Linked DNA regions of Oryctolagus cuniculus. The protein of the gene in region 1 purifies or fractionates together with the protein of each later gene. This does not show direct contact. Links are inferred from orthologs where the notes say so. Each region holds a gene or a part of one and is shown in the gene's direction. Other genes may lie near its edges. The genes, in order: JAZF1, NR2C2 and BRD8.

The links.
Region 2: the proteins of JAZF1 (region 1) and NR2C2 purify together in Homo sapiens (affinity purification with mass spectrometry; 4 studies listed by BioGRID and IntAct, with this or other methods). This does not show direct contact. The link is inferred for Oryctolagus cuniculus from reciprocal best matches to the Homo sapiens genes JAZF1 and NR2C2.
Region 3: the proteins of JAZF1 (region 1) and BRD8 purify together in Homo sapiens (affinity purification with mass spectrometry; 3 studies listed by BioGRID and IntAct, with this or other methods). This does not show direct contact. The link is inferred for Oryctolagus cuniculus from reciprocal best matches to the Homo sapiens genes JAZF1 and BRD8.

The regions. Positions count from the first base shown.
Region 1 is NC_091447.1:19,742,552-19,746,661, reverse strand, and holds the start of JAZF1 (juxtaposed with another zinc finger protein 1), read left to right. Parts: upstream 1-1,298; 5' UTR 1,299-1,726; coding exon 1,727-1,841; intron 1,842-4,110. UniProt on the Homo sapiens protein: Acts as a transcriptional corepressor of orphan nuclear receptor NR2C2. Inhibits expression of the gluconeogenesis enzyme PCK2 through inhibition of NR2C2 activity.
Region 2 is NC_091441.1:113,808,812-113,812,907, forward strand, and holds the start of NR2C2 (nuclear receptor subfamily 2 group C member 2), read left to right. Parts: upstream 1-1,289; 5' UTR 1,290-1,428; intron 1,429-4,096. UniProt on the Homo sapiens protein: Orphan nuclear receptor that can act as a repressor or activator of transcription.
Region 3 is NC_091437.1:25,975,988-25,979,628, reverse strand, and holds part of BRD8 (bromodomain-containing protein 8), read left to right. Parts: coding exon 1-47; intron 48-245; coding exon 246-292; intron 293-1,047; coding exon 1,048-1,262; intron 1,263-2,516; coding exon 2,517-2,609; intron 2,610-2,796; coding exon 2,797-2,865; intron 2,866-3,393; coding exon 3,394-3,571; intron 3,572-3,641. UniProt on the Homo sapiens protein: May act as a coactivator during transcriptional activation by hormone-activated nuclear receptors (NR). Isoform 2 stimulates transcriptional activation by AR/DHTR, ESR1/NR3A1, RXRA/NR2B1 and THRB/ERBA2.

The DNA.
Region 1 (4,110 bases):
GCACAGCTGCCAAAATTCTAATTCAAGATCGAGAATTCTAACTCCAGCTCTTCAGACCCTTGTCTGGCCTTGGCCCTCATCTCCTGCCAACTGGGCCTCTGGCTCATTATCAGGCCCACCAAGGCCCCACCCCCAGCCTCACTTGGGCCCAGGAAACCGTTCTTGGCACCAAACCGAAGGCCAATGACACACTTGCCCCAGCCCCATCCGACTCTACTGCTATCGTAGAGCCGGTCTGTCACCTTGTGAGCTGGAAGACACACGTGCTGGGCCACAGGAGGAAATGCCGGGGGTGAAGAAACAGCCCCCGTGGCTGATGGCCATGGTCAGACTGAGAAACTCTGCAGGGACAGCATTACCACCCGTGTCTTCATTCAAACACTCACATGAAAAACCTCAACAACTCCTTTATTAGATATAACACTGGAGATATATACATGGTTCGCGAGGGGGATCCTGTTTCCCTATGCTTCTCACCAGAGGGTAAGTGAAATCCATCCTCAGACAAAGTGCTATATTCAGAATGCATGTATCAAAAAATGCACCTGTTGGATCATCAGCTGCTGCTGTTGTGCCTTGTTTCTTAGGCACCTGGACCAGTGCTACTGGAGAACACACATTTGTCAGGTAAAAAATTCGACTGCACCTGGCAGTGGGGACTAGAAGGTAACAGCTTCTTAGCAAAATGCTGGTGTCGGGGAAGCTATTAAATTCAGCCGAGGGCTTAAGCAGTCAACATCAGGGTTTCAATGTTCACAAGACTGGCGTCTTGATTGGAGGAGTCTCTTCACCTGTAAGTGAGGCGCAAACATGACCCTTGACCCTGCGTGCACTCCGATGGCTCAATCACGGGACTTGGGGCAGGGTGGTGGGCGCAGTGTGGTGCCGGAGTCGGGGATAATGACATTATTTCAGCTCTTGTTTTCATCCAAAGGGGCAGACAGCCTTGGTACATAGGTAAAACCCAGTCAAATACACTTGACAACCAAGCACTCTATTTTGAAATTTAAATAAAGCTAAGATTTTCTTCTGGCCTAGAGGGAAGGTTCATTAAAATCAATTAGTCGGTACAAACCTCCAGAGAATACGGACTTTTTTTTAAAGAAGGTTTAAAGAATAAGGTGCACACAATTACCTTTCTCGGGGTCCCCCCCCGCCGTGACTGTCAGGGTCGCACCTAGACAGGTGGCCCCAAGCCCAGGTCCCTGAGAGCTAGCTCCCAGCTGGGCACGAGGTGTAATTAACAGCTGGGTGTGTGTGCGTGTGTGTGCGTGTGTGTGTGTCTCGGGCGCGCCGCGTCCACGGGCAGCCGGGCTCCCGACAGCCTGCACATATGACAGCCCGAGCCCCGCAGGCCGGCGCGGCACAGTCGGCGGCGGGCGCTGCCAGGTGAGGCCGCGGCCCGGGCGGAGGTCGGGGCCGCACAGCTGTGGCCGCGCGCCCGGCTCCCTCCTCCCAGCGGCCGCGGCCTCTCCCCTCCCCCCGCCGCTCCCGACGCCGCCGCCGCCGCCGCCGCCGCTCCCCTCCGCCTCCCGGTGGCTCGGCGCTCTCCTGCCATCGCTCTCGCCCCCTCTCCCTCCGTCCCGTCCTCTCCGCTCCCCTCTGCCCGCCTCTCTCCCCCTCCCCCAGCCCCTCCTCTCCTCACCCCACCCGGCCTCCTCCCTCCCTCAGCCCGCCCGCCCGGCGCTCGCAGAGCCGACACCAGGGGGGCTCTCGATGTAGCACCATGACAGGCATCGCCGCCGCCTCCTTCTTCTCCAATACCTGCCGCTTCGGGGGCTGCGGACTCCACTTCCCCACCCTGGCCGACCTCATCGAGCACATCGAGGACAACCACATCGGTAAATGGCTCGGGGGTGGGCGGGGGTGCCGGGCGCGCGGAAACTCCTGCCCGGGGCGAGAAGCCCCAGAATGGCCAGGGCTGGCCGGGAGGGGGGAGGCGGCGGCGGTGGCGGTGGCGGTGGTAGCGGCGGCGGCGGCGGGGCGGGGAAGGGGTGTGCGAGTCCTGGGGCGGGGGCGGCGGGATGCGGAGGCGCGGGTGGGGGAGGGGGCGGGCGCCCTGAGGTGCCGCGGGCGGGCCGGAGACCCGGCGGGGCGTGCGCGAGGGCTGCCGCGGGGTGCGCGGCGGCGGGGATGCGGCGGCGGCGGCGGCGGCGGCGGGGCCGGGCGCCGGGGAGGGCGCGCGGGGCGCGGCGGGCGGGCGGGCGGCCGGCGCGGGGCTGGGGCGCCGAGTTAGTTGGCCCGGGGGGCGGGCGCTGCACGCCGCCTGCCGCTTCCGCCCCGGCTCGAGCTGTCAGGGCTCGGCGGCGGCTGCAGCGGCCGGGAGGTGGGAGCGGGGCGGGGGGGGGGGGGCGGGGGTGGCTCCACCGCGGCAGCCATTCCGCTTCCTCCTCCCACCGCCGCCGCCACTGCGTCCTGTCAGCGCCGGTTGCTAGGTGTGGTGTTGCGGGCGGGGGGCGGACCGGGCGCTCGTCCTCGCCTCGGGGCGGCCGCAGAGCTGTGCCGGCCGGGTCCCGAGTCGCGGGGCCGCAGGGCGCCCACCCCTGCCCTGGCCTGGCGCGGACGCCGGGGCGCTGCGGGCTGAGGTTCCGGGTGTGCCCGCGGGCCGCGCCCAGCGCCGCGGGGCCGGGTCGCCGCGGAGGCCCCTGCGGCTGCGTTCGCTGGAGAGCGGCCCCCTCCCCGGGGCCGGCCAACGGGCTTTTCGATGCGCCCCGGCTCTGCGGTTTGCCCTTCCCATGGCGCTAGGCCCGAGGTGCGCCGGCTGCGCCCGGGGATCGGCGGCGGCCTGCGCGGCGCCCCGGACGCGGGGGACGCGTGGTGGGGGCGCCCCGCCGGGCGGCTGCTCGCCCTGCACGCCCGGGACCCCGGGGCCTTCCAACAAGTCCTCGAACACCTTGACACGTTTCTGTCCCGAGCCGCTGCGAAGGGAGATGGGTTGGGTTGGTGTGGCCCTGGCGTTCCTGCCACCTGCGAAGGTGTGGCCAGCGCCTGGGAGTTGTCCTGCGAGGCCCGGAAGGTGAAGGGGCCACAGAGGTGCCTCGTGGGGCTGTCAAATCCCGAGGACCGGTGATGGCCCCCAGACGTCCAAATGAACGCCATAGATTCATGCATGTGGATGCAGCTCACGTTTCTACAAAGTTGAGCGGGTAAATCACGACCACTGTGTATTTATGCACGAATAAAAGGAGGCAGAGTCCCAGGTTCCATAGCTTAGTATAATGCTGTCTGTGCACAGAGTGGGTGCCTAATAAACGTTGAATGCGATTAGGTGGGCCATCAGCAATAGGAAATATGTCTGTAAAGATGGTTCTTCGAGAGAGAATTCTGATGAGTAATTGTCCAGGCGTTGAAACTTTCAAAGTTTAAAGCAGGGCCCTGTAATTGTTCTTCTATCTCTGTAAGGTGTGACGGTGGGGGTAGGCAGGTTCTGGTAGTCTTAGAAGCAGTTTAATGGAGAAACAAATTTGCTGATTCATATCATGATTGAATAGTCATAACTGAAAGGGCTTGTACGGATAAATCGTTTTCACGATGCCTGGTTTAAAATAAAGCCAAAACTCCAGTAAAATGCAGAGTTCCAGTAGAAATTTTATGAGTTCAAGCCTTCCCCTATACCTAGTAATAAAATAATAAGTATAAATAAATATATATTAAATAAATGTACCTGAAAAGTATAAACAAACATCTCCTAGGTTGGAGAAAGCTGTCATAGCATATCCATTCATTCTCACTAACAGTTATTTCAGGATAAACTATAGTTTATGTAAGTTGAGTAATAATTTTACCTCATTGACTGCCTGGTTGGACTAGCTGGTTAAAAGAAAATAGAAATTAGATTTATTAACATATTTCAAAAACAGTTATCCTTCTTAAGGATTTAGTTCATCATCAGTTAGATGATTTAAAACCAAAAAGAGGTTTTTTTTTTAAGTTTGCAGACATTGTCTTTTTATTGTGCAATTTTTAAGAGGGTTAAGGGTTCCGTAAATTTTCTAAAACTCGGCTTTTAAGTACTAGTATCTCACTCCCAAAGGGCTAGTGTTTTTCTTTTAATAGAGAAAACATTGGGAAACTTAAATTTATAATGATAGCTGTGGCTTAGGAGAACTG
Region 2 (4,096 bases), on another chromosome or scaffold:
AGCCAACGCAAAACATTTAGTATCTCCTGCAAATGCACTGTTTCAGAAAACCCCTCTCGCTGATAGGTAAATTCTTACACTGAACACTCTATCTGGGAGCATTAACACTAAAAACATTTCTTCAAAGTGCACGTTTCCAAGTTTCTCAGAGTACTGTCACCTCGGGCTCACGGCCTACACAACGGTGAAAATCTTCCAGAGAGAGGAGCCTTTCCGGCCTCAGTGTCTGTGGTTCCCCTAACACTACACAAACGCAGCTCTTTTGCCCACTTTGAAAGGTGACAACAAGGAGAGAAGGCCAACAGCTGCGTTTTGAACAGTTCCTATCCAACCATCATTATAAGCTTACGGACAAAATCCCCAACGCTGGGCGGACCATGCTGATAAAAACGCCATATGGGAACTGCTAAGAAAACAAGTTAACCCATCAGTCTAAGTATTTCTTCCCAGTAAGAGACACGCAGAGGGAGAAACCCGTTAGCACAGAATCTGCGGCCTACAACGCCGGGCGACGAGGCGCGCGCAGCCCGGCCCAGAGGGTGCTGCAGCTCCCAGGCAAGTCGCCACCGGGGAAAACCTGGGGGCTCCGCGGGCCCCGGGAGGCCCGGGGGGCAGCCTTCTCGCTCGGACCTGCTGTCCGCACACCGAGGCGGCCCCCGAGCTCCAACTCCGACTCGGCCCGGGCCTTTCCGCACCGTACCCGACACCGCTCCCTTGCACCTTCGAAGCCCCAACAGGGAGGCCCACACCCGCCGCCGACCTCGGGCGCTCTGCGGCGAGGGCCCCGCTCCTTCCCTCACCGGGGCGCGGCGAGCTCCGCGGAGGCCGTCCCGGGCGAGCAGGCCCCGCCCCGCCGCGCGCGGCTCGCGGTCCCGCGTGGGGCGGGCCTGCCCCCGAGCAGCGGCGCGCGGCGTCCGCGGGCTCCGCGGGCCGGGGGCCGGGAGCCGCCACCCAGGGCCCGGCGGCCGAGGCGCGGCCCGCAGCCCGCAGCCCGCGGGCCGGATGGCCCGAGCGCCGGCCGCGGCGTTCCGGTGCGCGCGCGCGCCTCAGCCAATCGCGTGCTCGCCCGCCCCCCGCCGCCGCGGCGAGGCTGGCGCTGGGAAGAGGAAGAAGAACATTCGCCCTCCTCCTCCCAGCGCGCGGGCGGCGGCGGCGGCGGCACCGGGGTCACGAACTCTGACCTTTCACTGACAAAAACAATAACAAACCCCTCCTTCCCCGCGACCCCGGCGGCGCCCCCGGGCCCGCCCCCGCCTCCACCTCGGCGTCGCCTCCCGCCCGCGGCCCCCGCGAGCCCGCGGCCCCCGGGGCTCCCGCCATCCGCCGACTCCGGGAGCCCGGCCTCGCCGCGCCCTGCCCTCCGCGCCGGGGGCCGCCCGCCGCCGACACGGGACCTGCTTCCAGGCCGCTGTGGCGCCAAATCCTGAGGTAACACCGAAAAGGGGGTCGGGGCGGGCTCGGGCCGGCGGCGGCGGAGGGGGCGGGCCTGGCGCGCGGACATGGAGGCGCCGCGGCGGCGGCTGAACCCGACCCTTTTACCTTTGCCACGGGGCGGCGGCGGCGGCGCCGGGCGCTTTGCATAGTGGGCCGGGCCGCTCCCCTCCCCTCCCCGCCCGCGGCCGGGCGAAGCGAGAGGGCTCCCCCTGACCGGCCCGGCCGGCGCGAGGGTGGGGGCGGAGGGGGAATGGCCGCGGCCCCGCCTCACAGTTGGCCCTCCGCCAGCGCCGCCATTTTGTTCTCGATAGAGACAGCTCCGGCTGGGCCGGCCTCCCCTCCTCCTCCTCTTTATCCTCCTCGACTTCCTTGCAGTCCCTCCTTCCCTCGTTCCCCGGCCGCTCGCCCCGCCGCTTCCCGCCTGCAGTTGGCGGCCGCCCCGGCCCAACCGCCGTGTTTTCTGAAGGGGAGGGCGGAGGAAGAGGAGGAAGGCGAGTGCAGGGCGCGACCTCGTGAGCGACGTCTGCGCCGGCCAATTGGTGCCCAGATAGGAGGGCCGGGAGCCCCGTGGCGCCGCCCCCGGGCCGCTGCTGATTGGCTCGGGCGGGAGGGGGCGGCCCCCCGGCGGCGCGGGAGACCTGGCCGGGGCGCGGCGTGAGGCCGGGGCGGCGGGGGCCGGGCCGGGGGCGGGGCGCAGGGGGCGCGGCCTGAGTGAGGGGCTGGGCGCCGGCGTGGGCGAGGGGGCGGTTTCGCTGGGCCTGCACCTAGCGCCTAATGGATGGCGGCGAACAATCATTTTTAAGCCTTTGAAGCTTTGGGAATCCACTGCGCGATCTCTTGTCAAAGAGCGTTTTGGAACTCGGACGCCATCCCAGGCTCTTACCCGGATTTTCAGCTTGACCCTGGGCGAATCTCTCTTTCCGAGGCCCTCCGTTTCGTAGCCTGTAAAATGAGGATGGTGGGCGTTCTTGCCAGGGCGGACCTCCCTTCGCAGTATTGTTTAAGGGACTCGACTCAGAAAATGGAGTCCAGGCCGCTTCTCGAGCCGCACCGTGATGTAAAAATGGTGTTCCTGTTAAAATGCGGTGTGGAGCCGCCAGGGGTGCGGAGCGTAAGGGCTTGAGAACGCGGTTCCCAGGTGATTGTCTGCTCGTTCGTTTATTACAGACGCATTCACCTAGTTTTAGGCGCTGGAGATGCCTCCAGACAGCAGCTGGACGACGGTCCTGCCCCCCTGGTGTTGGGGACTGAGGGCGTGAACCGTGATGAAGGGAAAGTGGGTGATGTGCTCCTGAGGCCCGGGGGCCGACTTGGCTGGGATGCTCAGGGGAGGACTCGTGTGGGAAGCAGTGGAGACCCCGGGGCAAGCGGTGGATGCGGGTTGTGGCCGGAGAGTGTTTGGAACTGTTCGCTGCCCTTGCTGTCATCCCACTCTGCCTCCTGGCTAATGTCTGTGAAATGTGACAAAGGTAATGCAGCCCAGATCTGCGATTTAATCATTAAAAAGAAGACGTTCCAGGAAAATACAGCCATCAAGTGAATGGCTGGTGTCAGAAAGCCACTATTTCCAGGTGGAAGTCCTTTGTATCCATCTTCAATTCTGAGCCCCACTGATAGCCCAGGCACTATGCGCTGCGCCCGGAATGTAAAGGTGACTGAGACACTGATCCTCAAACTTGTGTCAGTGTGACTCCACACCTAGGCGTTCTGCTCCTTTCCGTGCCCCCACCTTCCGTACTGATACAGATCTGTGCACATACATGCACACCTAAAATGTTTAAAGGGGAAGTTCAGTAATGGTGTAATTAACCTAACAGCTCCAACATTTGCTAGCAGTGTGATTTAGGGTAAGTTCTCTAACCTTCTTGAACCTTGTTATCCTTGTTTGTGCAGTAATAAAACCTTTCTTCTACAGTTGAGGATTAAATAAGTTAATGTAAATAAGTGCCTGGCACATAGTAAATACTCAGTAAGTAGTTGGAATTACTGTCATTATGAAGTACTAGTTGTCAGCTGCAGATTTTGAACTTGTTAAATGGAAGAAATTGTAGGCAGGGTGGTATGGGGGCAAAAACAGGGTTATGTCATTGGATTCTGCCTTTAACGCTTTTCAGTCATTCACTTGGCGTCCAGACCAAAAATTTATTTAGAAAACAAAGCAGTGGAACAGAAGAGCATTAACCAAGAGTAGGGTGCTTTTCATAACTTTTTTTTAAAGGCATTACGTTATTCAAGTCTTGCTGCAACCCCTGTGATGGTAAAGGCCCTCTTCCTGCTCCATATTCAGAAACCCTCCCAGCACTGGTCTTTATTTTGCTAGCCCTGTATCCCTAGCTCCCTGTGCGCTGGACACTCTGGCCCAACTAACCTCCATGTCAGTGTGGCTTACTCTCCACCACAGGCTCTTTCACACTGCGGTTCCCTGGCCCTAAAATATTGAAAACGCCAGCCACCTACCTGGGCCTGCAGATCTGGTCAGCATCCCTTCCCCTAAGGGAAGTGCCCCCTGATTCTCCCTGCCAGTCCACGTCAGGTTTCTTTAGGTTATATTTGTTTCTCTATAACCCTCTCTGACTTAGTAAGTACCTGCTCTGTTATGTGTTTGATGACTGTCTTGTCCTCACCACACTGTAAGTTGTAGGAGAGCAGGAATCGTTTTTGC
Region 3 (3,641 bases), on another chromosome or scaffold:
TGAAGATCCTTTAGAGACAGAGACTCAACACAAATTTGAAATGTCAGGTAAATAAAGACCAGGAAACCTGTACTCTGTGACTAACTTGAAATCATTTGCTTTGGCTTCTAAGGGATTGTGGGTTGTGGGCAAGTACAGGAAGTAGAATAGGTCAGCATGGAAAGGAGAGCTGCAGGGGATTACGGTCCATAGTAGGGGAAGGCTAAGGTGGAAAAATCTTCAGGTAGTCTTTCTCTCCTCTGCAGACTCATTGAAAGAAGAATCAGGGGCTATTTTTGGAAGCCAGATAAAGGTATTTCAGATTTTTCTTTATTCCTCTTGCCATGTGATAGATTTCCCTATAGCACTCCCTTTTTTAATGAATTTCAGTAAACTCACAGCTTTATTCTCTGAGATGAGACTGGTAAGGAGTTGCATGGGGAAAAGCTGTAGTGGACAGTCAGGCATATGGGAGTACATATAATTACTGCACGTGCTACCCATCTGAACATTACATGGTTATTTTCTTGGCATGAAGTATACAAAGAAGCTCTGATGCACCCCAAGTGATTTGGAGTCAATAGGAATACTAGAGCCAGGAAGAAACTATAGAAAATCAGATTTTTTTAGACTATTCAAAGAGAATCATCTGAAGTTTTTATTTTAGAGTTACTAGAGCAGTAATAAAAAAGATTTGAAGTAATGCGATGTGAGCTTGCTCCATCAAATGAGACACGAAGTAAAAACTATTTTTGATAACTTTGTACCCAGGGTCAGAGTTCCTCTCAAGAGCAAGGGGAAAGAAGGAACGCCTCTTAGCTTAGTCTTAAGTAAGTAGCTTTTTTTTTTTCTTCCTTTTAAAAAGATCCTGGATTTTATTCTTTGTCCAGGTTCTAGATTACTTTATTTAGTCAGTGTCTGCTAAGTAGATGGTAGTATGAGTGATAGAGGGCTCAAAGTGTGAGGCCATTTCTAGAGTTGATCTAACCCAAAAGACAGACCATGTTTAATGATGCTTTGCTGGATAGCTTTACGTGCATTTGTTGACCGGAGCACACTGTGTCTAAGGATGCCCCAGGTGAGGATGAGGAAGAAGATGGGGTCAGTGAAGCAGCCAGCCTAGAGGAGCCTAAGGAAGAAGATCAAGGAGAAGGCTATTTGTCAGAAATGGATAATGAACCCCCTGTGAGCGAGAGTGATGATGGCTTTAGCATACACAATGCTACACTGCAGTCACATACACTGGCCGACTCCATCCCCAGCAGCCCTGCTTCTTCACAGTTGTGAGTATTAGAGATTTCTTTGTTTGAGTCCAAGGCAGTCAAGGTGAGAAGTAGGAGAAAATCTTTCCTTTATTTCTTTTTTAATTTTTATTTTTTAATTTTTTTTTTGACAGGCAGAGTGGACAGTGGGAGAGAGAGACAGAGAGAAAGGTCTTCTTTTTGCCATTGGTTCACCCTCCAATGGCCGCCGCGGCCGGCGTGCTGTGGCCGGCGCACTGCACTGATCCGATGGCAGGAGCCAGGTACCTATCCTGGTCTCCCATGGGGTGCAGGGCCCAAGCACTTGGGCCATCCTCCACTGCACTCCCTGGCCACAGCAGAGAGCTGGCCTGGAAGAGGGGCAACCGGGACAGAATCCGGCGCCTCGACTGGGACTAGAACCTGGTGTGCCGGCGCCGCAAGGCGGAGGATTAGCCTAGTGAGCCGCAGCGCCGGCCACTCCGCCTTTCAAATCAATAAAATAAAATAAAATAAAAAAACAGTAAGACTAAAGAAAAGATTTTTGGCCAGCGCCGCAGCTCACTAGGCTAATCCTCCGCCTTGCGGCGCCAGCACACCAGGTTCTAGTCCCGGTCGGGGTGCTGGATTCTGTCCCGGTTGCCCCTCTTCCAGGCCAGCTCTCTGCTGTGGCCCGGGAGTGCAGTGGAGGATGGCCCAAGTGCTTGGGCCCTGCACCCCATGGGAGACCAGGAGAAGCACGTGGCTCCTGGCTTTGGATCAGTGCGGTGCGCCGGCTGCGGCGGCCATTGGAGGGTGAACCAACGGCAAAGGAAGACCTTTTTCTCCGTCTCTCTCTCTCTCTCACTGTCGAATCTGCCTGTCAAAAAAAAAAAAGAAAAGAAAAGAAAAGAAAAGAAAGGCGGAGTGATAGAGGGAGAGAGATATCTTTGATCCTCTGGTTAACTTCCCAAATGTGGCAACAGGTGGGGCTGAGCCAGGCTGAATCCAGGTGCCAGTAACTTCATCCCAGTCTCCCACATGGGTGCAGGGGCCCAAGTACTTGGGCCATTTGCTGCTTTCCCTCCCTGGAGCATTACCAGGCTCAGCAGTGGAGTAGCCAAGACTCGAACTGGCACCCATATGGTTGCCAGTGTTGCAGGTGGTAGCTTAACCTGCTATGCCACATGCCAGCCCCCTTTTCTTTAATCTTATTTTCTCATCTTCCTATTCTTGGCCTGGAAGAAATAACTGACATGAAATAATTAGGGCTTTTTTTTCTTTCACCTTGCCTACTGATCTGTGTGTCTATTTCAGTTCTGTCTGTAGTGAGGATCAAGAAGCTATTCAGGCACAGAAAATATGGAAGAAAGCCATCATGCTTGTGTGGAGAGCGGCAGCTAATCATAGGTGAGTGGCTTTACCCATCAGTAGGTTCATTCCCTCCTGGTCCTCCTCTTTGTAGATGAAAAGAAAGCAGTCTAAGTAGGCTTCTGTGGGACTGTTGGTGGTGTCTCTACCTACCTTTAGCTACTTGATCTAAGTTCCTTCCCATGTGCATCTGTTTAGTAATTGCATGTTAATTATTTTCGGACAGATATGCGAATGTCTTCTTACAGCCTGTTACAGATGACATAGCACCTGGTTATCACAGCATTGTACAGAGGTAAGCCATGCTCTGCTGACTTGCCTGAATTATAAATTGTCCAGTCTTAGTGAATTTTTACTTTAGATCTAAGTACAAAGGTAGATGTTGTGGCATAGTCTGTTAAACTGCTGCTTGAGACACCCGTATCGCGCATATTGCAGTGCTGGTTTGAGTCCCATTCTTCCGCTTCCAATCCAGCTTACTGCTGATGCACCTGGGAGGCAGTGGATGATGGCCCACGTACTTGGACTCTTGCCATCCATGTGGGAGACCTGGGTGGAGTTCCTGGCTCCTGGCATTGGCCTGGGCTGTCCCCAGCTGTTGTGGGCAATTGTGGAGTGAACCAGTGGATGCAAGATTTCTCTCTCTGTCTTAAGTGCATGTTTTGGAGTGGGGGCTTGGCATTTGTGTCCTAGCAGCTAATAATGAAGGAATAAGGTATATGTAAGAAAGTTTATCATGTATTATCATGTTTATCATTTATTCAGAGATCAGGTGAGTCCTTTTCCCACTTCTGCTGCTCTTTACTCCTCTTCATTTTTTTAGGCCTATGGATTTATCAACTATTAAGAAAAACATTGAAAATGGACTGATTCGCAGCACAGCTGAATTTCAGCGTGACATTATGCTGATGTTTCAGAATGCTGTGATGTACAATAGCTCAGACCACGATGTCTATCACATGGCAGTGGAGATGCAGCGAGATGTATTGGAACAGATCCAGGTACTTCACGAATCCTTTGTGTTTTGGGAAGAATGAAGTGAAAATTCTCAAGGAAAGGTGCTGTGGCTTT